Linked DNA regions of Canis lupus familiaris. The protein of the gene in region 7 interacts with the protein of the main gene of each other region in a pairwise test. Links are inferred from orthologs where the notes say so. Each region holds a gene or a part of one and is shown on either strand. Other genes may lie near its edges. The genes, in order: ACOT8, IL36RN, EXOSC1, HDAC7, CDKN2C, MAGOHB and REL.

Region 1 (3,934 bases), on a different chromosome or scaffold from region 7:
CTCCGCCTGTTTTCTCAGCTGCCAAAAGGGAAAAACAGCATTTAACTATAATTCTCAATACAGCCCTGCCTGGTAAAGCATGCACACAACAGCGAAGGATGCCTGGGGCATGGGAAGTGTTTGAAAAAACGGTTGTTAATCTCAGAAGCTCGAGAACCACGTAGAAAACAAACGAATGAATGAGCAAACTAACCAACAACTGACCGCGTTCATTGCTTTGTCAAGAGAACACTGATGGAGGAAATCATCCCAGAGGCGTTTTGTATCCATTTGTGAAGACGGTACTTTGTACGAGGGATACTGCAGGTGCTCAAAGAATGGGGCAAATTGCAGTTATTTCAGGAAAGCTATAATGGAGTGAATGAATGAAGGGGGAGTGGGTGGTCAAAAAGCGATGCCTTGGGAATGTTTTGCTCTTTCCACCAGGCACAGGACAAGTGCTCGGTGCCTGTTGATTGCCCTGAGACCGGGGCCCAGCTGCGCTCCCTCCTCCTCCTCCTCCAAGGCCTCCCTCCAGGGGACAGTCCGGCCTCCTCCCCACCCTCCTGCCCCGCCCCAGACCTGCCCCGCCCTTACAGGATGTCCTCGCGGATGCAGGTGCCATGGTTGAGGTTGTGGAAGCGGACGGAGACGCAGTCCCTGAGAATGAAGGAGCACCTGTTCTCCTTTTTGTAGGCGCTGAAGCACTCCTTGAAATCCTCGTAGGTCTTGAAGCAGCTGCCCAGCTCCATGGCCGCCCCCTCAGCCCACACCAGGGGCTGGCCCCCGGATCAACACTAGGGTTCAGAGGTCACACTGTGAGGGCCTACAGGCTGGCGCATGTCCAGGATGCCTTAAGGGTCGGCCTCAGCTGAGTGGCCTGTTACGGGGCTCAGGAGGAGCCCTAAGGGCCGAGAGGGCTTAGGGGTCTGGGGGCGTCTTTGCTTTCTCACAGAGGGGAAATGACGCTCAGCTCTTATTATTCAGCCCTGGGTTCCGCCCCCTCACAGTTACATCCAATCACACACGGTATTCCCAGACTGGCACTCATTTTCTCCAATCGCTAGAGAAAGCTAGCCCGCCTCTCGCGAAGACTGACAGGAGGGCCGACCAATCATAACTTGGACCCCTCTTTCTTGGGCGGGGGGGCCTTGAGGCGATTTCCTGTTACTGGAGCAAGCTGCCGGAAGAAGGTCGGCGTTCAGTGCGGGTGTCCTCGTGTCCGCTCAGCGCGGTGTTCTGGCTGGCCGCGCGTGAACCCCATGGCGTCCCGGCAGGCTCCCGAGGATGAGCAGGGCGGCGGCGATCCCTCCGGGGACCTCCGCAGCGTCCTGGTTACCAGCGTGCTCAACCTCGAGCCGCTAGACGTGGATCTGTTCAGGTAGCCGGCTGCATCTGGCTCGCACCCCTCCCCCCGCCACCCCCCACATTGGGACAGAGACTTCCGACCTCGATGCCGCCACCGCGTTGCCTCCTGCTCATAGCCCCCCGGACGGGGATGGGCTCTGTGCAGGATGCAGGCTCTGCCGCGCCTGGGAGAGAACTGGTCCCTGACAGACCTGGCTGGTCTCGCTGCCCTAGCTTCCTCCGGTGCGCGCCAGGTCTGCTCAGCCCCGCCACTAGGAGGCCCTAGCCATCCGGGCAGACGAAGTGGTGGCTTGAGCTAGCCTTCACAGCAGGCTCTCTGGAGGAGTCCTGTCCCTAGGGGCCAGCCCAGAAAGGGTGGTCACTTAAATGCACGCAGCTGATCCGGTTGAAAATTTAGAAGCAGCTTCTTGCATATTCACTGTTCTTTCCTTTTACGTACCTCGCACCTTCCACCACTTGGATCTAGTACCTCATTGCCCTGAGATCTGAGCCAGTTTCCTTCCAGATACCACTTAAATGCTTTTCTGCAGCTAGGGATTTAATAGTTTTGGCCGTCAGGGTTCCTACTGGCTTTTCAGAGGCAATCTTAAATGTTAGAGTTTCACTTCCCCCTACTTAATGAATTGCAAATGACTAGGAGGGGCTACTTGGAAGGCATTATATTTTTTTTTTAAATGCTAACCTAGGTTGGAGCTGAGCTGGCCTCAGTGGTAGGAAGCTGGAGTTCCAGGGCCTCATTTCCTCATCTGTGCGCGAGAGGGTTACCCTTAAAGCCTGAGGACCCTTTGAGTTCTAGGACCCTTTGTAGTTCTTGGAAGAACTGGGCTAAAGTTGAGAGGCCCAAGTGGCAGGCCTGAACGCAGTCTGCCCGCAGCTCTTGGGGATCATCTTGGTCCCCTTATGGCCTTGAGAGGCTTCTGCTTTATCCTGGAATCGGCAGTGAAAGAAACACTGGACTTGGGGGCAGAAGACGCAGACACTGCTCAGGACTGGCAATGTTTAAGTTGACTGACCTCACTCAAGTCACTTTCCCTCTCTGATCCCTGTTCTCTTTGGGTAAAAGAAGAGAGCTGGTTCCTTATCTTTAACTGAAGCCCACAGAAGGGTTGGGCAGTCTTGAAGGCACTAAAGTTACATGTATGCTGTATGCAGAGTAAGGGTATTTGCCTGGGAGAAGGGTCCATGGCTTTCACCAGATTTCAGAAGGATCCCAGACGTCAATAAGGTTGAGAGGTCTTGCCCTATAGGATGGTTGCAGGATTTGGCCCAAGTATTTCCTGCTTTCCCCTCTCTCCACAGAGGAAGACATTACTGGGTACCCACAACCCAGCGGCTGTTTGGGGGTCAGATTGTGGGCCAGGCCCTGGTGGCTGCAGCCAAGTCTGTGAGTGAAGACGTCCATGTGCACTCTCTGCACTGTTACTTTGTACGGACAGGTAAACTATCCCCTCTTTATACCCAAACCCAACCCTGAGGGCCCAGCAGCCACTTGTTCCTGGACTTGGGGGGCTGATGGGCTGGAAGAGGGAGGAAGGGCGGTGGGGGAGGGGAGAGTGAGACAGTTGATTCCCCTCAGGGGAACCTAGAGAGGAGCAAGGTCTGGGGCCCAGAGGAGTGTTGGACTTCACACGGATGAGATCACTGAGTGCTTGTTGAGGAAATGTTGGCGGCAGAGCAAATGATCAAGAAAGAATTCTTGAGATGTGTTTGGTGTAAAAAGATGATTTTGTTTGTTTTTATTTTTATTGTTTCTTAAAAAAGATTTTATTTATTCATTCATGAGACACACAGAGAGAGAGAGAGGCAGAGACATAGGCAGAGGGAGAAGCAGGCCCCTTGCGGGGAATCTGATGTGGGACTAGATCCCAGGACCCCGGGATCACAACCTGAGCCAAAGGCAGATGCTCAACCACTGAGCCACCCAGGTGTCCCTGTCTGTTTGTTTTTAAAGATTTATTTATTTTTAGAAAGAAAGAGTGGGGGGAGGAGAGCAGGAGGGAGAGGGAGAATCTCAAGCAGACTTCCTGCTGAGCATCCTGAGATCATGATCTGAGCCAAAATCAAGAGTCGGATGCTTAACTAACTGAGCCACCCAGGCTTCCCTAAGAAGGTGGTCTTACTAGAGCACGAGAACAGGACTTCTGGGCAGAAAAGGCTGTACTGGGATTGTGACAAATGACTATATACTTTCAAGTTGGATGGGGGTTAGGGACAGCACAAGTTTCCAAGGTATTTTAGAAGTCAGGTTTCCAGGACCTTGAGGGGGCTAGTTATTGTTAGGAAAAGGTCATTTATTCCTGTCTTAAAAAGCCTGAGTCATGAGACCCTTCAGATGTGTATTGGTGGGCCATATGCTTGGGTGATTGCCAACATGCAGCATGCCAATATGGTAGAGATAAAGGAAGTTTCCAAAGGAATTTCTACGTGTCTAAAGAAGACTTCCAGGATCCTACAGGGTCAGGGTAATGTTAAACTAAGATTGCCTCTTGCCCTTAGCAAAGTACTCACCTGGAGGCAGCTGAGTCTCTAGAGATCACTCTACCTGTTTCAAGGACTTGTCAATGGGTTTAAGTAGTAAGGAAATTAA
Region 2 (3,058 bases), on a different chromosome or scaffold from region 7:
TGGCTCCCTTTCTCTAGGTGAGGAGATCAGTGTTGTCCCCAACCGGTCTCTGGATGCCAAGCTGTCTCCAGTCATCCTGGGCGTCCAGGGAGGAAGCCAGTGCCTGTCGTGTGGGACAGGGCAGGAACCAACTCTGAAACTAGAGGTGAGTCCTGTGGGGGCTTCCTTGCTATCTGACCTCATAAGCCAGCAGATCCTGAAGCCACTGGGCCATGCATCCTAGGGCCTGAGCTCCTCTCCCTCACAGGGTTCTGTGATTGCAGCCCTGCCTTTCCATGCCCCCAGCCCAGTTCTCCTGCCTCCTCCACTCCTTCCCCTCACCTGCCCCTCTGCTCACAGCCAGTAAACATCATGGAACTCTACCTTGGTGCCAAGGAATCCAAGAGCTTCACCTTCTACCGGCGGGACACGGGGCTCACCTCCAGCTTTGAGTCAGCTGCCTACCCAGGCTGGTTCCTCTGCACCGTGCCTGAAGCAGACCAGCCTCTCAGACTTACCCAGCTCTCAGAGGATGCCAGCTGGGACAACCCCATCACAGACTTCTACTTCCAGCAGTGTGACTAGGGCAATGCATCCCTCAGAACCTACCTGAGCAGAGGCAGCTCAGGCGGGGCAGAGGTGGAGGAGGACACTGATGGCAGCCACCCACCATCTGCTCTCAGGGCCTCACCTCTGGCTGGCACTCGGCCACTCTCCCTTTTGATTCCCAGTTTAGGTAAATCCTTCTGAGATTTGGGGCTTTGTCCACATTTTCTTTCCCTGTTGAGTGGTGCTACTTGTGTGGAATCTTGCAAAAACCACTCAAGATGAATTGGAAATCACATAAAAAGGTTCCTAAGGGGTCAGGGTTGAGGGAATTGTGGAAATCCTTCATGCTTCATGGTAACTTACCCAGTAGTCCGGAGCCCCACAGACCAGTCCATCCCAAGTTGAGCCTATTAGGGCCACCAGCTGCTCACATGAAGTCCTGTCATCCACCAGTATGCAGAATAGGGAGGTCATAGAGTTAGAGACCCAAGGCCCAGCCCCATCCCTCTTCCTTACAACTCAGCTGCCATCATATTCTATCTTTTCCATATCCACCCTCGTGCTCTAGCCATGGCAGCAGAGGGTGGTGATGTCCGAGGAATGACTCCAGCTCAGAAGGCTGAAGAATGTCCAGGCATTACCTTTTGAAGCCTGAGGTACCATTAAAATCCAAGATACTGGTATCTATTCCCATGAAAAGTTGCTCGTGGCATTCTAAGTGAGAAGAGCAAATTACAAAGTAGCATATCTTGTAATTTCATTTTAATTTAAAAAATATCTATATGTGTCTGCATAGAAGTCTGAAAGAGTTTACTTCAATTTTAGCAATATCAATTTAGCAATTATAGGTGATTTTTCTTTTTGTTCTTTTATTTATTTGCATTTTCTAATTCTTCCATGATGAAGATGGACTCCTTGTGTAATAAATAAGTTAATCTTGGGGAAAACAGAGCAGACAATATTTGTGACCATCCTCGGCACTCCCTGAGTGAAATTCAAATTGAATTGAACTCTGCTGGTCAGCAGCAGCAAGAATCAGAACATAGATCTCCTCAAACCTGCAAAGAAAGAGAATATGATGAGTTAGCATGGTTGAAATCTCCTGGAGAAGGAATTTATAGAAAGAACAATTCTGGACCTAGAGTGGTCACAGCTCCCTAAGATTGCAAGGTGTGGGTTTCAGCCTCCAAAGGATCCTGTGCTGGTTGAAATTTATTTCCTTCTGGATACCTTAGACTGTGACCTTATTTGGAATTAGGTTCTTTGCAGATACAATTAGTCAAGAGGTCATGCTGTATTCGGGTAGGCTCTAAATCCAACATGACTGCATGTGCAAGAAGAGGAGAAGACACGTAGGCACACAGAGACCAGGAAGGCCATGTGAAGATGGAGGCAGAGATTGTACTTTCACTGCAATAAGGCAAGAAATGCCATGATTGAGGCAACTGCCAGAAGCTAGGAAGAGGCAAGGAAGAATTTTTTCCCAAAGCCTTCAGAGGGAGGATGGCCTTCTAGTCTCCTGAACTGTGAGAGAACAAATTTCTATTGTTTTGAATCACCAGCTGTGTGGTAATTGGTTGTGGTGGCCCTATGACATTAACACAGCCGTTGCTGATCCCATCTCACATCGTGTGTGTGTCTTTTCCCACATTGTACCCACATTTTCTCTGTGACCAACAGAATGTGGCAGAGGTAATATTATGCCACTTTTGAGATTAGATTACAAAAGACTCTGCAGCCTCTATCTTGTTTTCTCTCTTTGTTTACTTGCTCTGGGGAAGCCAGCTGCCATCTCCTAAGCAGCCCTAAAAAGAGACCCATGTGTTGAAAAATGAAGCCTCCTACCAACTGCCACATAAGTGCATTTGGAAGCAGCTTCCCCAGCCCCAGTCAGGCCTTCAGATGACACAACTCTGGCCAACAACTTGATTGCCACCTCAAGAGAAACTCTGAAGCAGAACCAACCAGCTAAGCGGGTCTAGATCCCCAACTCTCAGAAACTGAGAAAATAAATGTTTTTGCTTTCAGTTGCTAAGGTTTTTTTTTTAAGATTTATTCATCTTTTGAGAGAGAGAGAGAGAGAGTGAGAGCACAGGCACACATAAGTGGGGAGGGCAGAGGGAGATAGAGAATCTCAGGCAGACTCCCAGTGAGCATGGAGTCTGACACAAGGCTTGATCTCATAACCCTGAAATCATGACCTGAGCTGAAACCAAGAGTTGGACACTTAACTGACTGAGCCACTCAGACTCCTCAATTAAATTTTGGGGTCACTTGTTATACAGCAATGAGATAACTAATACAGAGGGAAAGAGAAAGAAATACATTTATTTTATTATGGTTACAATTTTCTCCAATATTTTCATTTCCCTTCTCAAAATTAACATCTGACCTTTTATTTCCCCAAACATTCTGTTTAAAAGTTGATCATACTAAATTTGTTGAATATTCTCTGTTCCTGCAAGATTTAGTTCCTCCTTGATTACCTTTGCAGTTCCAGTCTGACATGCCAAGGACTGTCACTCCAGCA
Region 3 (3,500 bases), on a different chromosome or scaffold from region 7:
TACTACAGTTGGCTCTGAAAGAATACAAAGTAAATCTGAGGGAATAGCAAAGAATAGACACCTGGCTTCAAAGGCAAGGAATAAAGTAGTCCCCTTCTGCTCAATAGAGCAAACAAAAAATCCTAAGGAAAGGAAAAGGACAGTGAGGTGAATTCCACACTTTCCAGTAGGAAACACCTTAAAATTCCTTGGACCTTTGGATCCACATTCCCACAGATGTTTGAAATTCCCTGGAGTAATTTAAAAGGATCGAGATTCCTAAAGTCATAAGGGGAAAAAAAAAAAAGAACCAACCAACAACCTTGTCTTTTTCAGTAGCTCGGACATCTTCCTTGCTATAAAAAAGAATTAACAAAAGATTAATTATCTGTGAGAATTATCCTGCAGAATCATAGCAGACAGAGAGCTACAAGAATAGAGAGAACAAATCATAATTGGGACCCAAAGGCCACCCAGAAGTGGGGTGGAGAAGCATTCCAAGTCCTCCCCTGGAGGAGAAAACCACATTCCCATTCTTGGGTCACACAGAGCAGCAGTATCAATACCTTTGACTAGAGAAAAGCAGATCAGATTTGGCAGGAAAGAATAAGGAACTTTGCTGCCTTAGGAAAGCTTGTACAGAAGCACTACAGAACCAACATGGAATCCTAAGGGTGGAAAGAGCCTTAGAAGCTATATCTAGCTCACAAGAATTGTTGGTCTCTACTTTAAAAACCTACAGGAAAAAACAAACAAAACCCTACCATTCCACTCACCTTTTTAAAAATATATTTTATTTTTTTAAGATTTATTTATTTTACAGAGAGAGAGAAAGAGTGCATATGCCATGAGTGGGGGGGGGGAGCGTGCACCCTATTTTACAGAGGGAGAGAATCTCAAGCAGACCCCTCACTGACTGCAGAGCCAGACACGAGGCTTGATCTGACGACAGCTTATGAGATCACGATCTGAGTTGAGATCACAAGTCGGTCGCTCAACCAACTGAGCCACTCAGGCACCTCTAAGATTCTATTTTTAAGTAATCTCTATGCCCAACATGGGGCCTGAACTCAAAACACCGAGATCAAGACTTACATGCTTTACTGACTGAGCCAGACAGGTGCCCCTCACCCACTAACCTTTTTTTTTTTTTTTTTTTAAGATTTTATTTATTTATTCATTCATAGAGACAGAGAGAGAGAGAGGCAGAGACTCAGTCAGAGGGAGAAGCAGGCTCCATGCAGAGAGCCTGACGTGGGACTTGATCCAGGGTCTCCAGGATCACGCCCTGGGCTGCAGGCGGCGCTAAACCGCTGCGCCACCGGGGCTGCCCACCCACTAACCTTTTTACCTTTTTAAAGTCTTTCGGGGGATCCCTGGGTGGCGCAGCGGTTTGGTGCCTGCCTTTGGCCCAGGGCGCGATCCTGGAGACCCGGGATCGAATCCCACGTCAGGCTCCCGGTGCATGGAGCCTGCTTCTCCCTCTGCCTATGTCTCTGCCTCTCTCTCTCTCTGTGTGACTATCATAAATAAATAAAAATTAAAAAAATAAAAAAAAATAAAAATAAAGTCTTTCGGGATCCCTGGGTGGCGCAGCGGTTTGGCGCCTGCCTTTGGCCCAGGGCGCGATCCTGGAGACCCGGGATCGAGTCCCACGTCGGGCTCCCGGTGCATGGAGCCTGCTTCTCTCTCTGCCTATGTCTCTGCCTCTCTCTCTCTCTCTCTCTCCGCCCCCCATCATAAATAAATAAAATTAAAAAAAAAAAATAAAGTCTTTCAATCCTTAGATTTAAACTATATTAAATACAAAAAAGGAAGATATTTCTTAAGATGCCTTTAACTTTTTTTTTTTTTAAAGATTTTATTTATTCATGAGAGATACAGAAAGAGGCAGAGACATTGGCAGAGGGAGCAGCAGACTCCCTGCAGGGAGCCCGGTGCAGGACTCAATCCCAGGACCCCGGGATCACGACCCGAGCCAAAGGCAGACACTCAACCACTGAGCTACCCAGGTGCCCCTAATTTGTTCCATATGAACTTCCTGCAACACTAGTTTCCAGCTTAGCTCAATTCTTTTCATTTTATTTTAAAGCCCAATCTTGTCAATATTTTCCTTTTGTCCTAGCTCATACATTATAACATTTCCTTTGGACACTACCTGGACAGAATCAAAGAACAAAGAGGAGAGAGAGGCAGGTAGATATAGGAACTGTAATTGTTCCTAAAAATTTCAATCCCTGTTCTATTCTAATCTCATTCCAGGTGCTGATGCAAATGCAAAAACATGAATACTTCTTACCGGATAGTTCCTCGAAAAGAGTTCTTAAGTGGTGTGGACCCCACATATAGGATGTGCACTTTGGCAAAGCGTGAATTGATGCTAGAGACCTGTGGAACAGAAAAAAGATCAGCATTAGAGTAGTAGCAGTTGTCAGTTCAAGGAGGCAGCAAGAAAGGAATTACCAGTGTTTTAGTCCAAGCAATCCTACTAATTATAGAATTTAAGACAAGTTAACTCCTACTTAATTCTGCATAAATGATATATGTCAAATGGAATGAGAGTCTCTCCAGCCACCTAATAAAGTTACTGTGGGCATCCAATGAAATAATATGGAATATATCTTGAAAAATACAGAAGCCTAACAAATAAAAACAGGGCATTACCGTAAATCTAGACCTTTAACTGATCTTACCAAGAGCCCGGTACAGTGCACAGAAAAATTTTTTTAAATGTTTATATTTCTTTTTTTTTTAATTTTTTATTTATTTATGACAGTCACACACAGAGAGAGAGAGAGAGAGAGAGGCAGAGACACAGGCAGAGGGAGAAGCAGGCTCCATGCACCGGGAGCCCGACGTGGGATTTGATCCTGGGGTCTCCAGGATCGCGCCCTGGGCCAAAGGCAGGCACCAAACCGCTGCACCACCCAGGGATCCCCAGTGGACAGAATTTAAGTGTACATTTCAGTTACTGTGTAATATTTGGATCACTGCCTCTTCAGTTATTTTAAGAATAACACATTGATTTTCTGCTGGAACAATTTATAAACAGCAACTAAGAACTCAAGTTGATTTAACTTAACATGGGGGTGGGCAGAGAGTAAGGATGTCTTGTAGTTACTGATCAGTATAGCATTAATTTGTATTTCCCCTGAAACACCCCAAATGATGAAATTTATTTTTAAAAAAGATTTTATTGGGATCCCTGGGTGGTGCAGCGGTTAAGCGCCTGCCTTTGGCCCAGGGCGCAATCCTGGAGACCCGGGATCGAATCCCACGTCGGGCTCCCGGTGCATGGAGCCTGCTTCTCTCTCTGCCTCTCTCTCTCTCTGTGACTATCATAAATAAATAAAAATTTAAAAAAAATAAAAATAAAAATAAATAAAAAAGATTTTATTTATTTATTTGAGAGAAAGAAAGAGACACAGCATGAGTGGAGAGAAGGGGCAGAGGGAGACAGAAAAGCAGACTCCCTGCTGAGCAGGGAGCCTGATGCAGGGCTGGATCCTAGGATCACCACC
Region 4 (3,500 bases), on a different chromosome or scaffold from region 7:
TGTGTGGCTGCTCTTCTGGGCAACAAGGTAAGCTGCCCCCCAGCCCCCGCATCTGTGCATCTGTAGGGCAGGGGTGGCAGGCCTAGAACGAGGGGGACCAACGGGGTGCCCCTTTCCCAGGTCAGATCTAGGATCCGGGTTTCCAGCCTTAGGCAGAGCCAGGAGCACATGAGTATTTGTGCCTGGAAAGCCAGGGCCCTTGGCGGTGGGAGAGAGCTGGGCCTGTGCGTCCCTACGGGCTGATAGGCTGTTTTCTATTGTAGGTGGATCCCCTCTCAGAAGAGGGCTGGAAACAGAAACCCAACCTCAACGCCATCCGCTCTTTGGAAGCCGTGATCCGGGTGCACAGTGAGTACAGAGAGAGGGCACCCACTGACCCCAGACTTGGGAGAACCTCCAGGGGCTACTGCCCTCAGTAACCCGGGCCCCATGGCCTCCAGTGCCCACCAGGCGGGGGGCTCCACTGCTGTGCAGCAGTGGGCTTCCTCTGAATCACCCCCACAGTAATGGCGGGACTTCCTCCCTCTCCATGTTGGGTACTCCTGGAGCCCTCCGGGTGGATCCAGTGAGGACCATCAGTCCATCAGGGGGGACCCCCTGCCTCCTCAAGGCAGGACCGGCCTCCCATCCCCAACCTCAGCCCTAGGCCAGGGCCAGGCTGGAGCAATAGACCTTTTGCCAAAAGCGCTGGATCCTAGTTTGACCCTCAGTCCTGTCCATGGGGATCTTGAGAGCTTTGCCTGCTTTGGGGGCTTAGAATAACCCTACATTTGGGGGTGCCTGGGTGGCTTCATCGGTTCAGCATTCAACTCTTGATTTTGGCCCAGGTCTGGCCTCAGGGTCATGAGTTGAAGCCTTGCATTGGGCTCTGTGCCCAGTGTGGAGTCCACTTAAAAATAAATAAATAACCCTACATATGGAAAGCATTTTGAATTTTCACCTTTAACCTCCATGGAGCACTTAATGTAAAGACCCACGTTCACTGCTAGGGATGCAAAAACGAATGAAGTCGATTTCCCCACATCCAGGGCCAGTAGGGGAAGTGTGCATAACAATAAAGATGCTCCACTTTGCGTGGAGTCTTCACCCTGGGACCAGGCTCTGGGCTGGGCATGTCCTGTGGACGTTATGTGCCTACAACAGTAGGCAGGATGGTCATGTCCATGGCTAGCGGGGGTGGTGGAAGCCCAGGGCGGGTAGGTGACTTGCTGGTGGCTCCACAGAGCAGCCGTGGTGGCAGTCAGCTCTGTGCCATGTCCCTCCCACGTCCCACACTGTCCTGTCCTATGTGTTGGGCTGAGCATCACGTGGGGGCTGTGCATGAGTGACACCCTGTGTTCCAGGAGGCTGGGGCTCGGGATCTGTGAGGTGGTCTGAGATAGACTCCATCTAGGGAAGAGTGAGCTCTACTGGTGCTCTTAGGGACCCCATGCTGTGGGAATGGGTCAGAGGTGGGCTCTCGCCCGCAGGCGTAGGAGAGTGGCTCGGGCACCTGCTGGGGCCTCTTCGTAGCCCCACCGGGTCTGGTCTGCTCACCCTGTCAGGGCTGCGGGGGGCCAAGTGAGGGAAAGTGTTATGTTGAGGGTAGAGGCAAGGGAGAGCGCTGACCCCAAACTGAGGATACGCCCATACGCCCACTGACGGGGGGCCCTTGGCCTTGAGAGGTCCAGCCTCGTATCATCAGTCTAGGATGCGCGGTGTGGCAGGGTGGAGGGGCTTGTTTCTCTAACCCTTTCTGACTCTCGGCTTCTTGGCCCAGGTAAATACTGGGGCTGCATGCAGCGCCTGGCTTCCTGTCCAGACTCCTGGGTGCCCAGGGTGCCAGGGGCCGACACAGAAGAAGTGGAGGCAGTGACCGCACTGGCATCCCTGTCCGTGGGCATCCTGGCTGAAGAGCGGTAATGCCCGGCCCCCGGCCCACACAGCCTCTCCACCCCTCGGACCCTCCCTACCTGATGACCCCAGATCCCAGCACGGCCACCCCAGCCTTCCCCGGCTTCCCGGCATGCAGCCCCCGGCCCTCCAGCATCCCCACCCTTGTGTCTCCCTCCTCCAGGCCCCCGGAACAGCTGGTGGAGGAGGAAGAGCCTATGAATCTCTAAGGCTTCACAACGGATTTGCCTGCCCACCCCTGCCCTTCGGACCTGGTTCTCCTCTAGCCTCTGGCAACAGTACCCAGTCCCCGGGTCTACAGAGGGCCTTCGGGCAGGTAGTTGGGGCCAGAGCACAGCCCCTTGCCAGTCACCCCAAGGAGCCTGAGCAGGGCCCTGCATCTAGGATAGGGACCAAAGAGGACCCGGGGAGGAGGCCAGCTGGGCAGCCAGCCCCACCTCAGTAGGGCTCTCTCAAGAACAGAGTCGACCCCTTTGGGGTCCAGGCCCCTGGCTGGGCCCCATCCCTCAGGACTGCACAGAGGAGGACTAGCTCGGTCGGGCCCACCGATAACCACTATTCTTCATGGCTCCGTAGACCCTGGGCTTTGCACACGGCCCCAGGCTCCACGCAGAAATGTGAACTTGGCCTCAGCCAGGGTGGCCCTCCCTAGGCTCTGAGGGCTGAGCTGGAGTATGGGGGCGGGGGGAGGGAGGGGGAAGTCAGGGAGTCCCTTACCCCTGAGTGCAGGGGCATCCCTCTTGCCTGCTTCCTCAGATGACTCTGGAAGCTTCCCCCCCCTGCCCACTCCCCCCCCCCACCCCCGCCACTGGGCAGGGAGACAAAGCTCCTTCCGAGAGAGCAGTGGTCGGCAGGCCTCCCATCGGGTCCCAGCCCCTGCCACAGGCCCCCCTCCATCAGCCATCTCAGTGCCCTGGCGGAGCCGACAGGTGCTCTGGGAGTTCCGTGCTTCCTGAGCCGATGGTGCCAAACTCTTCATCTCCCCTCAGCGGCACAGTGTGACCGCCAGGGGCCCCTCGGTCACCGCCCCCCTCCGTGAGCCCTCTCTCTTTCTGGGGTCTCCCTCACCCAGCTCTCACTCCTGCCCCACATAGGACTAGCCTGGCTGAGGGGAAAGGGGTGGGAGAGTGGATGCAAGACACAGGGGAGGGGAGGCTGCCCTGGCAAAGTCTTCAAGGCTTCTGGGGTCCTGGCCTGGGGCCAAGAAGGAAAGTGTTTGTGTGCGTGTGAGAGAGAGTGTGAGAGTGTGTGTGTGTGTGTGTGTGTGTGTGTGTGTGTGTCTTCCCCAGGACCACCATACCCTGTGTATGTATGCATGTTTTTGTAAAAAAGAAAAAAAAATAAGAAAAAAAAAAGGAAAAAAAATCTGAACAATAAATGTTTTATTTGCTTTAAAGATGCCTGTGAAAGGGCCTCTGGGGAGGAGGGGTGTTCGGTGGGTGAACAGCTGTACCTCGTGCGCACGCGTCTCGTTTACTGTGGGAAAGGGCCCAGCCCCCCTCCAGCCCCCCTTCCAGCTCCCCCCCTCCGTGGCAGCTCCCTTGCAGAAAGAATCCCTTCTGAACACACCCTGGCCGTCCCCACTTGCCCCACCTGGGGGTAATAGA
Region 5 (4,173 bases), on a different chromosome or scaffold from region 7:
ATAGTAGACACTCAAATGTTTGTGAAATCAAATATAATCCACTGAAAAATTCCTACAAAGTTGATCTGTCACTTTAAATTGTTTATTTAAAAAATAATCACAAATTAAGTAATAAAATATATTTAGAATGAATAATATTTTATGAATGCAAACTATATAGATGGCCAAGGTATTAAGCTTCCCTGTTGATAAAACCCTGCTGACCTAGCCTTGCCTTTGGAGCAATGGTAAAAATGATACATAATTTATTTTTTGAGAATTTCAATAAAATATATTTATTAGTTAAAAACGAACACAATCTAATTTTTGCCACAACTATCTCTAAAGATTTAGTCACATTTAAAGATCTAGACCGGGAAAAATAAGGGACAGACACCTTGGATCTTTGTAGAGCAAATGCGCGATTAAGGCCTTTCACATTATCCTGATTGAAAAGCTTACACTAGGAAGGGGGGAAAAGCTTTTGCAACCAGGTTAAATGAACATAATTATAGAAGAAAATTCGCCTTTCACAGAAAATAATAGTAATACTGGAAATTGTTTTGAAAGAAAGTTCTTTCTTGAGTTATGACACAACTTCAGAGTCAGGATTATACATACTGAAAATAAACCTTGAGACTCCTGTTTGTGTATGTTTCATTATATAAATTAGGGTTAAGCCACAATAAATGGGTATTAGTATATTGATAAGTGTGCTTAATATAAACAAGATTGCAAAGTTGTATTAAAAATATCAAAACTTTTTGTCAGTCTTCCTGTTCATCAAAAGTCCTGTAAGATCTTATTCTGAACATGGGTTAAATTGCTCATTCTTAGTCAAATTTATATAATCTTTGGATTTTCAATAGGAAACTTTTCAATATATCAAATTTGTAGCATTGTTATCATCATCAAAGCTATTAAAAACTACTAGGTGGACAAAGAAAAAAATTCCTTATCCCATAGAATCTACGTGAAATAACAAGATTAAATAATTTAGTATTTATGCATAAATTTCCTTAATACTGAAATTTTTGCAAGGCCGGTATGTTCTGATTTAAAAATGTACAGACTGAACTTCGTCTGTTAATAGCGTATCTCCTGCTACTTTTAAGTCTAATTCTTGTAAGTAAAACAAAGCATTCTAAAACCTTCTCCCCAATGAATTTTCAAAAACAGCTTCAAGTGTTGCATTTCCGAATAAGAACGGTTTATAAGAACACTATTAGAACTTTGATAAAGCAACTATTTGAGACTACTTTGCCATTTTTCTGTTTCTAAGCCTTTCAACTAAGTTACATGATAATTAACATTCAGAGGAGGAAAAAAATTATCAGGTACAATACTTGGCAGCTGGACATGTTTCATTTCTTGCTTGTAAATCTAATTACTGAAAATTAGAACATACCACCGCATGACCTCAGAGACAAAAATACTACAAACTGAGCTCTGATTAGAAAATTCAACTTTTTATTCCTCCTCAATCCCGAACGGGTGGATGGTATTGCATTAACTGTGAAATGTACATCCTGTCCCTGTGCCCAGGCCACCTATTCCAAACGAGGAAAGGTCGTTTGTCAAAACTTGAAGCATTTGAAGGAAAAACACCCTCGCCAGGAGTCAAGAAAATTAACGTTAAAGCCAATTATTGGAGCAAAGCACGGAAACCACTAATAGCAGAGTATTTACTTCAAATAATAACTATAATAATGTGTTTACAGAGCTGTCTTAAAACACACACACACACAGACACACACACACACACCTCGGCGCTGCTTCGACTACTTTTAAATCCCCACCGTCACAAAAACATTCCAAAAATTAAGACCAAACCTGGAACCCATCTGATATCGAGGATGTCATTGAATTCGACGAGTTTGTTCAAAGTACGTCATTTTTGGGGACTCGGATCCACTTAAAGATATAAAATATGGCAACCAAGTAGGCTTAAAAAACAGTGAAATTCTGTACCCCTGAAAGCTTAAAAGCCGTTATTCCAGAAACCCGGGTCACGTAGGCAACATTGTTGACCTGTTTTCCCCACCTCTCTGGATACCAACCTGCAGCGCAGTCCTTCCAAATCCATTTTGTGCATTGACGTTTACATTATTTTGCAACAAACTAGTAAGTTGCTCTAGGTCCCCCCTGGCAGCTGCAGACGCCAACTCGTTCCCCCAAGGCTCGGCCATTCTTTAGGGTCCTGACGATCGGGAAAAGATGAATTAGTTGTTTTTCTTTTTCCCCTTTCCTTTTGCTCCTAACCAGGCTGCATGATGGCATCGGAGACTGACAGAAGGACTGGGATGGTTAATCTGGAGTAGAGCTTGGTAGTAAATACTAGTAAGATCTGCCTGCCAAAAGCCCGCCCCTCGGTTCACACGTGATTATTCAGCAAAACTGAGCCATTGGAGAGGGGCTCCGCTCCTCGCTCTTTAGCTTAACCCCTGTGAAGAATTCTGGTGACTCAACAGAAAGACACACAGACGTCTATACATTGCCGGCAAATTGCTCTGGACGTAAAATGCTGGCAGAGCTGTCACGTATCTACATACAGGTCTCCGCGAGTCCTGCGTGCGGGGACCTCGGCGGCTAGACCAGGGCGTAGAGCGCCGCGGCAGGAGGGGTTCGGGGGAGAGGAGGCATTAACCCACCCGTGCTCACGGCGGTGGCTGGAGCCGCGCGAGCCAGAACCGCGGGGGCAGGTCCTCGCAGGGCCCGGTCTCCATCCGTGTGCCGAAGGGTCGTGCTGCGCCCGCGGCGGGGAGGGCGCCCGCGGCGGGGAGGCCGGCGCGGAGGCAGACGCCGCTGGCAGTTCGTGGCCCTCAAGCTCTAGGTCCCAACGCTCCTGTGTGGCCTCGGCTGCTCGGGGGAGCCCCGACTCGCTCCGGGCGGCCCCGCCGGCTAACGCCGCGCGGGAGGGCTCCGCGGCCCGCCTGCCGCGCCGCCGCAGCCTCGCCGAGCCTCCCGGGCCGCGGGCGCCGGGCTGCGAGCGCGCCTCCGAGGACGGCCGGGCGCGCGGCGGGCCCCGGGCAGGTCGCTCATGCCGGCCCCCGCGGGTCCCGGGACCCCCGGCGGCGCGAGGAAGGGGGCGCGGGGCGGCCGTGCGGGCCCCGTCTACGCGGCCCGGGCTGCTGGGGCGGCGCGCCGCTGGCTTCCCGCCTACGACCGAGCCGGTCCAGACTTCCCACCGCAGCCTCTCCTCGAACCGCCGCCGCCGGCTCTTCCTTCCTTCCGCGGGTTTCGGGGGACCTCCGGAGGTCGGGAGCGGCCGGGGAAGCGCAGGCCAAGGTCCGGGGACCGGGGGCCGCCGCAACGCCCGAGAGCAGCGGGTCCTGCCCGCCCGTCGGCGACAGCCCCGCGGCTCCGGCCCCGCCGCCGCCCCGCCGCCCTCCGGCCGCCCACGGCCTGTGCCCCCGGCCCGTGCCCCCGGCCCGTGCCGCCGACGGGGCGCGGCCGCCAGCGAACTGTGCCCGCGGCCGAGCCGGGCACCGCCGCTCCCTCCGCAGCCGCAGCGCTCCCGCTGACAGTTTCTTTTGTAGCTGGTCCCCCAGATCGCCGGGCCCCGCTCTCTTCACCCCTGCAGACAACTTGCGCGTTGTCCTCTTTTCAGCTCTTTTCCTTCCCACCCGCCTTGGCTTCTTTTTTCGCTCAAACAATTGCTGCTTCTGTTGCCGCTGCGGAGACGGTGCCGGTTTCTTCTCTCTTTTTTCCGACCTCATCAGCTTTTTTTGAAAAGAAAAAAATTGAGCGCTTTTTGAGTTGAAAAACCCGCCCCCATTTTAACGGCAGAGTTTTAAGGAGGCTCGGCCGAGTTGCAGCGCCGCGGGAGCGGGAGGCCGGGCGCCGCCCACGCCCCGCCCCCTGCCCGGGAGGCGCTCGCGCTCGCGGCTCGCTGGCCCCGCCCCCGCCCCGCCCGCGCCCGCGCCCGCGCCCGCGCCCTTCCTCCCGCTGCCCCGCTCCCCGCCGCCCGCCCGTGCCCTTCCTCCCGCCCTCGCGCTCCCCGCCCCGCTCCCGGCTCCCGGCTCCCGCTCCCCGCTCCCCGCTTCCCCCGCCCCGCTCCCCGCTTCCCCCGCCCCGCTCCCCGCCCCGCTCCCCCCGCCCCGCCGGCCCCGCTGGAGCGGCGTTCTGCCCGGCCGAGCCGGGCTTGGCCTCCCTGAGGCCGGCTGGCGGGATGCAGTCGGCGACTCCAGACCT
Region 6 (2,552 bases), on a different chromosome or scaffold from region 7:
GAGGTAAGTTCTTTTTGAATGTCTAATTTTCTACATTTAGACCATTTTCTTCATGTCATTTTTGAATTTACAAAAATACACCTAAGGCTGTATTGCTGTAAAGAAGCCAATTTATAGGTTGAAAAGGGAGTCTTTAAATTAGATATAACGGTAGCATGTGTAACAGAAGAAGATGCAATCTGAGTATATTAAGTTGTAGTCCCACTTTTGAACATATAATTTCATTCATTTTATAATTAGTTATGTCTCCTTATCCCACTCCTTATTAAACTAATGGATAGTCAAGATTTAAACACAGTGAATTTTACATGAAAGGCTCAAAAGTTAGGGCTAAGTAAGAAAAAGTTCAGAGCAGTAACTGGGATATGTACTTGTATTTGTCTCTGTTCACCACAGATTTTCCAAATCACCATTAACCATTCAGATGTATTTGAGTTCCGTGTTACAAAGGCAGATCCAAAGTTTTAAAAAGGGGCTAGTGGAAGTTATTAATTTATTTATTTTAATTTAGTAACAGATATATATTAAAGGAAAGGGCAAGAGAGTTAATAAAGTTGTAAGATGAGTGATTCCCTCCCAACTTGTACTTTTGGAATCAGTATTAGATTTTCCTGTGATACTCTCTTTGAATATTTAGGTTTTGTAACTTTGTATTATCATTTCATCCTGAGTTGTGGGAAGAAATAGACATTGTGGAATTTTTATTGTAACTTGTTTTCAGGCTTATGTACACAAGAGTGTAATGGAAGAACTGAAGAGGATTATTGATGACAGTGAAATTACAAAAGAAGATGATGCATTGTGGCCTCCCCCTGACAGAGTTGGCCGACAGGTTTGTGTTCAGTGGTTCTTTAGGCATGGTAGTAGAAACTGGTAATATAAATGTTGTGTTTCTACTTATTTATTTAGAATAGATCCTCATTGATTCTTTGGTTTTCCATTTATTTAGTAGGCATCTGATCAATACTCTTTGATTTTATTTCACTTAGTCTCATTTTCTGTCCTACTTCTGAATAGTAAAGGAGTCAGTGCAGAGCTCTGAATTTAGACATCTTCCTGACGAGTCTTCTATGTAGCTTCACGAGTTAAAGTTATGATGTTTTCACACTGTTATGAATAATTGCTATTGTATATTAATTCTATTAAGAAAAAGTACAGTGTGAAATTCAAGACAAGATTCTTATTGACTATAAAATTCACTTTCTTCATTTTTATAACTTTGAGAACTCTTAGGCCCAAGAGAGGGATTTGATTGCGTCTTTGTGCAAACTGACTACCGCATTTGCCTCCTGTTGTTCCCTTTGGAGTAATTAATGTTTCTCAAAGGGCTTCTGGAGAAGTTTGTTTTTTTTTTTTTTCTTCTTTTTTTTTTTTTCTGGAGAAGTTTGAAGGCTTAATTTCCCTCTGTAGAAAGACAGTTTGATTGGGTCTTTTCAACTCTTGGAGAATTGAAATACAAATCCTGGAGGAAGAAACAGTTAATTTCATTTTTGTATATTCCTGAGGATTATACTTTATATCCCCTTCCTTGACTGGAAGAAAATATGGAGAAATCAAATGCTGATGTTCTGTGCAATCACTTAACTCTTCTATTTAAACAGGCATTTTTTAGGAAAGCAAAGGTCATAGTTAATAGTATTTATGTGACATATTGTAAACAGTTTTGAAAAGTAACTTTTTAAATCTTGGTTTCTTTCTTTCTTTTTTTTTTTTAATTTATTTATGATAGTCACAGAGAGAGAGAGAGAGAGGCAGAGACATAGGCAGAGGGAGAAGCAGGCTCCATGCACTGGGAGCCCGATGTGGGATTCGATCCTGGGTCTCCAGGATCGCACCCTGGGCCAAAGGCAGGCGCCAAACCACTGCGCCACCCAGGGATCCCCTAAATCTTGGTTTCTTTTATGCAATAGGTACTTATGTACTAAAAAACAGACACCATAACAGCAAATCATTTATCTCTTTTAGACTCAGAGAGAACTCAGTATTTTCATCTACCCACTTGATGATGGGTTTATGTGTTTTGGTTAGTAGGGAGGGGTAGGCATGTTCCAGAAATCATTTATTGGATTTTTAAAAAATTAATTAATTTATTCATGAAAGACACAGAGAGAGGCAGAGATAGGCAGAGGGAGAAGCAGGCTCCCTGGGGGAACCTGATGTGGGACTTGATCGTAGGACCTTGGGGATCACAACCTGAGCCAAAGGCAGGCGCTCAACAACTGCTGAGCCACCCAGGTATCCCTATCAATTGGATCTTTAAGTCAAAGATTCTATGATAGTTTGAGAGCCTTAGTTAATTCTCCATTTTGTGCATGTCATAAACTGTGTATAATTAGGTTTCTTGGTCAAAACATAGCTAAAATGTTCTTTAATTTTACTTGATAAATCACTACACACATAGCCTCTTAATTATTGATTTTAGATTTGCAGATAAAATCTAGGGAAAAATTTATACAATAATTGGGGCACACTAAGAATGTCTGTAATATGTTACATTTGCTTTAGTAGGTATTAATTTTACATGCTTTGTGAAGTCAAACAACTATGAGTCT
Region 7 (3,500 bases):
TCTCATACAGATTTATACTCTCCCTATTCTCTGTTGTGTATAACCTGCAACCCTTTTTGTAAAAATTTGGTTGGTTATTAATATCATTTTGGCATTCTGCTCTAAATTTCAGATGACTTAGGATAGTTACTTCCTGACCATGCACATAACTTAATGAATCCTGTGACTACATGATGATCCTGATAAAAGGCATTCTTGCGATTTTATACTCTTCTATTTTGTTAGTACAGATTGGATGCTACTTAGGGTTATTGGAAATGTTGGGCAGGGAGGAGGACCTAGCAGGGTTTTAGTTCTATGTGACTATTTTACATTCTTTAAAAAAAAAAAAATGTACTATTTAGTCCCTGAACAACAGCTGCTGGATATTGAAGATTGCGACCTCAACGTGGTGAGATTATGTTTTCAAGTTTTCCTCCCTGATGAACATGGTAATTTGACAACGGCTCTACCTCCTGTTGTCTCTAACCCGATTTATGACAACCGTAAGTACTTTATTTTATTGTATTTGTATTGTATTGTATTTATATGTTTTTTAGTTTAATTTTTTAAAGTATTTTGGCAATTAGAGAAAGTTTGTTCATTATAAGAACAATTCAAGCATTACTGAAATAACAAGAAGACTAGATCTTCTCTGATCTCCTCCTCCAAAGATAATCTATATCCTCAGGTACATATTTCACCAGTTTCTTCATATATAAAAACACATTATCACTATCCTTGATACAATATACTTTTAGCAACTTAAATCATCACAGATCCTTTGGAAAAAAATTTTTTCTCTTAGCAATGGATCTTGAGCCTTTTCCCTTTGAGGTACCTTGTTCCCTTCAGTAGCTGCATATTTCCTTATATGGCTGTATCATCATCTTATTAAACCAAACAAGGTATTTGGTTTGTTTCCTTCTTGATTTTTTCTCTAATAAATTGTATTTCAGTAAATATCCTGTATATGCATATTTTGTGCATATGTGTCTCTAGCATAATTTTACAGTAGTATGAATGTTGGCAAATCCTGGATCAAAGGATAGGGATATTTATAGTTTTAAAAGATTATGAAATTGCCCTGAAAGTTTTTGTGCACACGTGTACATATTTGCTCTTATATATGCATCCATTCCTGGTATATGATGGCCTATTTTGCATCTAGAAGCACATAGGCCTATAATGGTAGATCAGGGTATCCTTCTCACGGAGAATTTTGAATTGCCAGGGAGAGTTACTGAAATTATATTCCTAATAAAAGGGAGCGTGAAATCACCTTGTTATAGGGTTATAGTCATGATTTAAGAGATTAATCTGGTGACAGTGTATGGATGGATTGAAAGGATGAGAATTTAGGAACAAGGAAATTTAACTAGTGGACCTATTATTGCTGAGAAATGAAGTCACAAGGCTATAGACCAGGGTGGGCTTGTCGTCAGAAAGGAAAAGGACAGGTGTGAATGATTAATGTACTTAATGTCCTTAATTTCTTTATACACTAAAGCTTTTATCTGTCCTATAAATTGTTTCCCTAGAATTCTCACCATCAAAAAAGAATAAAAATGGGACCCCTGGGTGGCTCAGCAGTTTAGCGCCTGCCTTCGGCCAAGGGCATGATCCTGGAGTCCCAGGATCAAATTCCACATCGGGCTCCCTGCATGGAGCCTGCTCCTCCCTCTGCCTATGTCTCTGCCTCTCTCTCTCTCTCTCTGTGTCTCATGAATAAATAAATAGAATCTTTTTTTTAAAAAAAGAATAAAAAATATTACTAAGACAGAAACTCATTAAAAAATCCTTTTTATTTAGGTGCTCCTAATACTGCAGAATTAAGGATTTGTCGTGTAAACAAGAACTGTGGAAGTGTCCGAGGTGGTGATGAAATATTTCTACTATGTGATAAAGTTCAGAAAGGTATTTATTTATTTGTTTCATTGAATTTAGAATATGCAGATCTTCTTTGGCTTACAGTGGGGCTATACCATGATAAATTCACTGTAAATTGAAAATAATCTTAAATTGAAAATGCAGTTAATACACGTAACCTACCAAACGTCGTAGTTCAGCTTAGTGTACCTCAAACATGCCCAGAAAACACATTAGCCTATAGTTGGGCAAAATGACCTAACACAAAGCCTACTTATAATAAAGTATTGACTATCTCATGTAATTTATTGAAAACTGTACTGAAAGTGAAAATCAGAACAGTTGTGAGTATATCAGTGGTTTACCGTCCTGATCATGTAGCTGACGTGGCTTGCTGCCACTGCCCAGCATCTTCCGAATGTCATGCTGCCTATCACTAATCCAGGAAAAGATCAAAATCTGAAGTACGGTTTCTACTGACTGCATATCACTTTCACACCATCATAAAGTCAAAAAATTGTCAAGTTGAACCATCATCAGCTGGGAGCCATCTGTATTTTAGATTAATAGATGGATTTTGTTTTCCATTGCTGTTCCTTTGCTTTTATATTCATTAGATGACATAGAAGTTCGGTTCGTGTTGAATGATTGGGAAGCAAAAGGTATATTTTCGCAAGCTGATGTACACCGTCAAGTAGCCATTGTTTTTAAGACTCCACCATATTGCAGAGCTATAACAGAACCAGTGACAGTAAAAATGCAGTTGCGGAGACCTTCTGACCAGGAAGTTAGTGAATCAATGGATTTTAGATATCTGCCAGATGAAAAAGGTATGAGTTCTTGGTGGTAAGGTTTTATGTATTTCTTAAAGTTCTCCTAATACCATTTTCTTGTAAGATACGTTTGCATACTGTTAGGTTTATTTATAGTTCACGTTTTATTTCCAGAAAATTTTTCGGTGATTTTTTTTTTTTAACCTATTGATATTTATGCTCTTTGTATTCCTGTCTTTGGAAAGGAATCTAGAATAATTTCAGAGTATCTGAACTGTTTACCAAAATTTATTTTATATTTGAGGTTCTATTTTTGTCCTTATTGTGCCCTTTTTATAGATGGAAAGCTTGCCATTCAGAATGGTCTCCATTTTGGTTTCGTCCTTACCTGCCCTTATTGCGTTAGTTGACATTGTTAACTTATAGGTGTTATGAGAAAACAAGATGAGTATTAGACCCTTTACTACCTACTTGGGACACATTCTGCAACACTTAATAAATCCAAAGCATATACATTTGTTTAAAGCACTTTATGGGAATAAAACACCTGTTTTTTAAAGGAGAAGCCACATAAACCTATGATGATCTACATGTTTTCCTCGTTTCTTTTTAACCAGATACTTATGGCAATAAAGCAAAGAAACAAAAAACAACTCTACTTTTCCAGAAACTGTGGCAAGATTGTGGTAAGAGTATTTGATTTGTATTTAAATAGATTTTGGGTTTTTTGCTTTATTCAATTTTCCAAATTTTAGCTGATGTTTTTTTAAATTGCATTTAATAATGGAAAAACTTTATCACAGCAGTTAATTTTCCTGAAAGACCTAGACCTGGTACCCTAGTATCAACTGGAGAAGGAAGATTCATCAAAAAAGGTAT

What was found.
Region 1: the proteins of REL (region 7) and ACOT8 interact in binary tests that used the Homo sapiens proteins (3 or more experiments, as listed by UniProt). The two-hybrid records come from large-scale screens. The link is inferred for Canis lupus familiaris from reciprocal best matches to the Homo sapiens genes REL and ACOT8.
Region 2: the proteins of REL (region 7) and IL36RN interact in binary tests that used the Homo sapiens proteins (3 or more experiments, as listed by UniProt). The two-hybrid records come from large-scale screens. The link is inferred for Canis lupus familiaris from reciprocal best matches to the Homo sapiens genes REL and IL36RN.
Region 3: the proteins of REL (region 7) and EXOSC1 interact in binary tests that used the Homo sapiens proteins (3 or more experiments, as listed by UniProt). The two-hybrid records come from large-scale screens. The link is inferred for Canis lupus familiaris from reciprocal best matches to the Homo sapiens genes REL and EXOSC1.
Region 4: the proteins of REL (region 7) and HDAC7 interact in binary tests that used the Homo sapiens proteins (3 or more experiments, as listed by UniProt). The two-hybrid records come from large-scale screens. The link is inferred for Canis lupus familiaris from reciprocal best matches to the Homo sapiens genes REL and HDAC7.
Region 5: the proteins of REL (region 7) and CDKN2C interact in binary tests that used the Homo sapiens proteins (3 or more experiments, as listed by UniProt). The two-hybrid records come from large-scale screens. The link is inferred for Canis lupus familiaris from reciprocal best matches to the Homo sapiens genes REL and CDKN2C.
Region 6: the proteins of REL (region 7) and MAGOHB interact in binary tests that used the Homo sapiens proteins (3 or more experiments, as listed by UniProt). The two-hybrid records come from large-scale screens. The link is inferred for Canis lupus familiaris from reciprocal best matches to the Homo sapiens genes REL and MAGOHB.

What each region holds. Positions count from the first base shown.
Region 1 is NC_049245.1:33,783,335-33,787,268, reverse strand, and holds the start of ACOT8 (acyl-coenzyme A thioesterase 8), read left to right. Parts: upstream 1-1,134; 5' UTR 1,135-1,241; coding exon 1,242-1,360; intron 1,361-2,646; coding exon 2,647-2,783; intron 2,784-3,934. Other genes in the region: ZSWIM3 (zinc finger SWIM domain-containing protein 3), read right to left, coding at 577-731. UniProt on the Homo sapiens protein: Catalyzes the hydrolysis of acyl-CoAs into free fatty acids and coenzyme A (CoASH), regulating their respective intracellular levels. Displays no strong substrate specificity with respect to the carboxylic acid moiety of Acyl-CoAs.
Region 2 is NC_049238.1:37,370,110-37,373,167, forward strand, and holds the end of IL36RN (interleukin-36 receptor antagonist protein), read left to right. Parts: intron 1-17; coding exon 18-145; intron 146-339; coding exon 340-564; 3' UTR 565-2,558; downstream 2,559-3,058. UniProt on the Homo sapiens protein: Inhibits the activity of interleukin-36 (IL36A,IL36B and IL36G) by binding to receptor IL1RL2 and preventing its association with the coreceptor IL1RAP for signaling.
Region 3 is NC_049249.1:10,916,542-10,920,041, forward strand, and holds part of EXOSC1 (exosome complex component CSL4), read right to left. Parts: intron 2,368-3,500; coding exon 2,279-2,367; intron 336-2,278; coding exon 302-335; coding exon of another isoform or gene 295-301; intron 1-294. UniProt on the Homo sapiens protein: Non-catalytic component of the RNA exosome complex which has 3'->5' exoribonuclease activity and participates in a multitude of cellular RNA processing and degradation events.
Region 4 is NC_049248.1:39,626,314-39,629,813, reverse strand, and holds the end of HDAC7 (histone deacetylase 7), read left to right. Parts: coding exon 1-27; intron 28-263; coding exon 264-348; intron 349-1,759; coding exon 1,760-1,898; intron 1,899-2,056; coding exon 2,057-2,102; 3' UTR 2,103-3,237; downstream 3,238-3,500. UniProt on the Homo sapiens protein: Responsible for the deacetylation of lysine residues on the N-terminal part of the core histones (H2A, H2B, H3 and H4).
Region 5 is NC_049236.1:10,264,364-10,268,536, forward strand, and holds the start of CDKN2C (cyclin-dependent kinase 4 inhibitor C), read right to left. Parts: upstream 2,801-4,173; 5' UTR 2,631-2,800; intron 2,180-2,630; 5' UTR 2,169-2,179; coding exon 2,040-2,168; intron 1-2,039. UniProt on the Homo sapiens protein: Interacts strongly with CDK6, weakly with CDK4. Inhibits cell growth and proliferation with a correlated dependence on endogenous retinoblastoma protein RB.
Region 6 is NC_049248.1:11,014,357-11,016,908, reverse strand, and holds part of MAGOHB (protein mago nashi homolog 2), read left to right. Parts: coding exon 1-3; intron 4-721; coding exon 722-832; intron 833-2,552. UniProt on the Homo sapiens protein: Required for pre-mRNA splicing as component of the spliceosome. Plays a redundant role with MAGOH in the exon junction complex and in the nonsense-mediated decay (NMD) pathway.
Region 7 is NC_049231.1:62,305,008-62,308,507, forward strand, and holds part of REL (proto-oncogene c-Rel), read left to right. Parts: intron 1-344; coding exon 345-485; intron 486-1,791; coding exon 1,792-1,896; intron 1,897-2,465; coding exon 2,466-2,678; intron 2,679-3,238; coding exon 3,239-3,307; intron 3,308-3,424; coding exon 3,425-3,496; intron 3,497-3,500. UniProt on the Homo sapiens protein: Proto-oncogene that may play a role in differentiation and lymphopoiesis.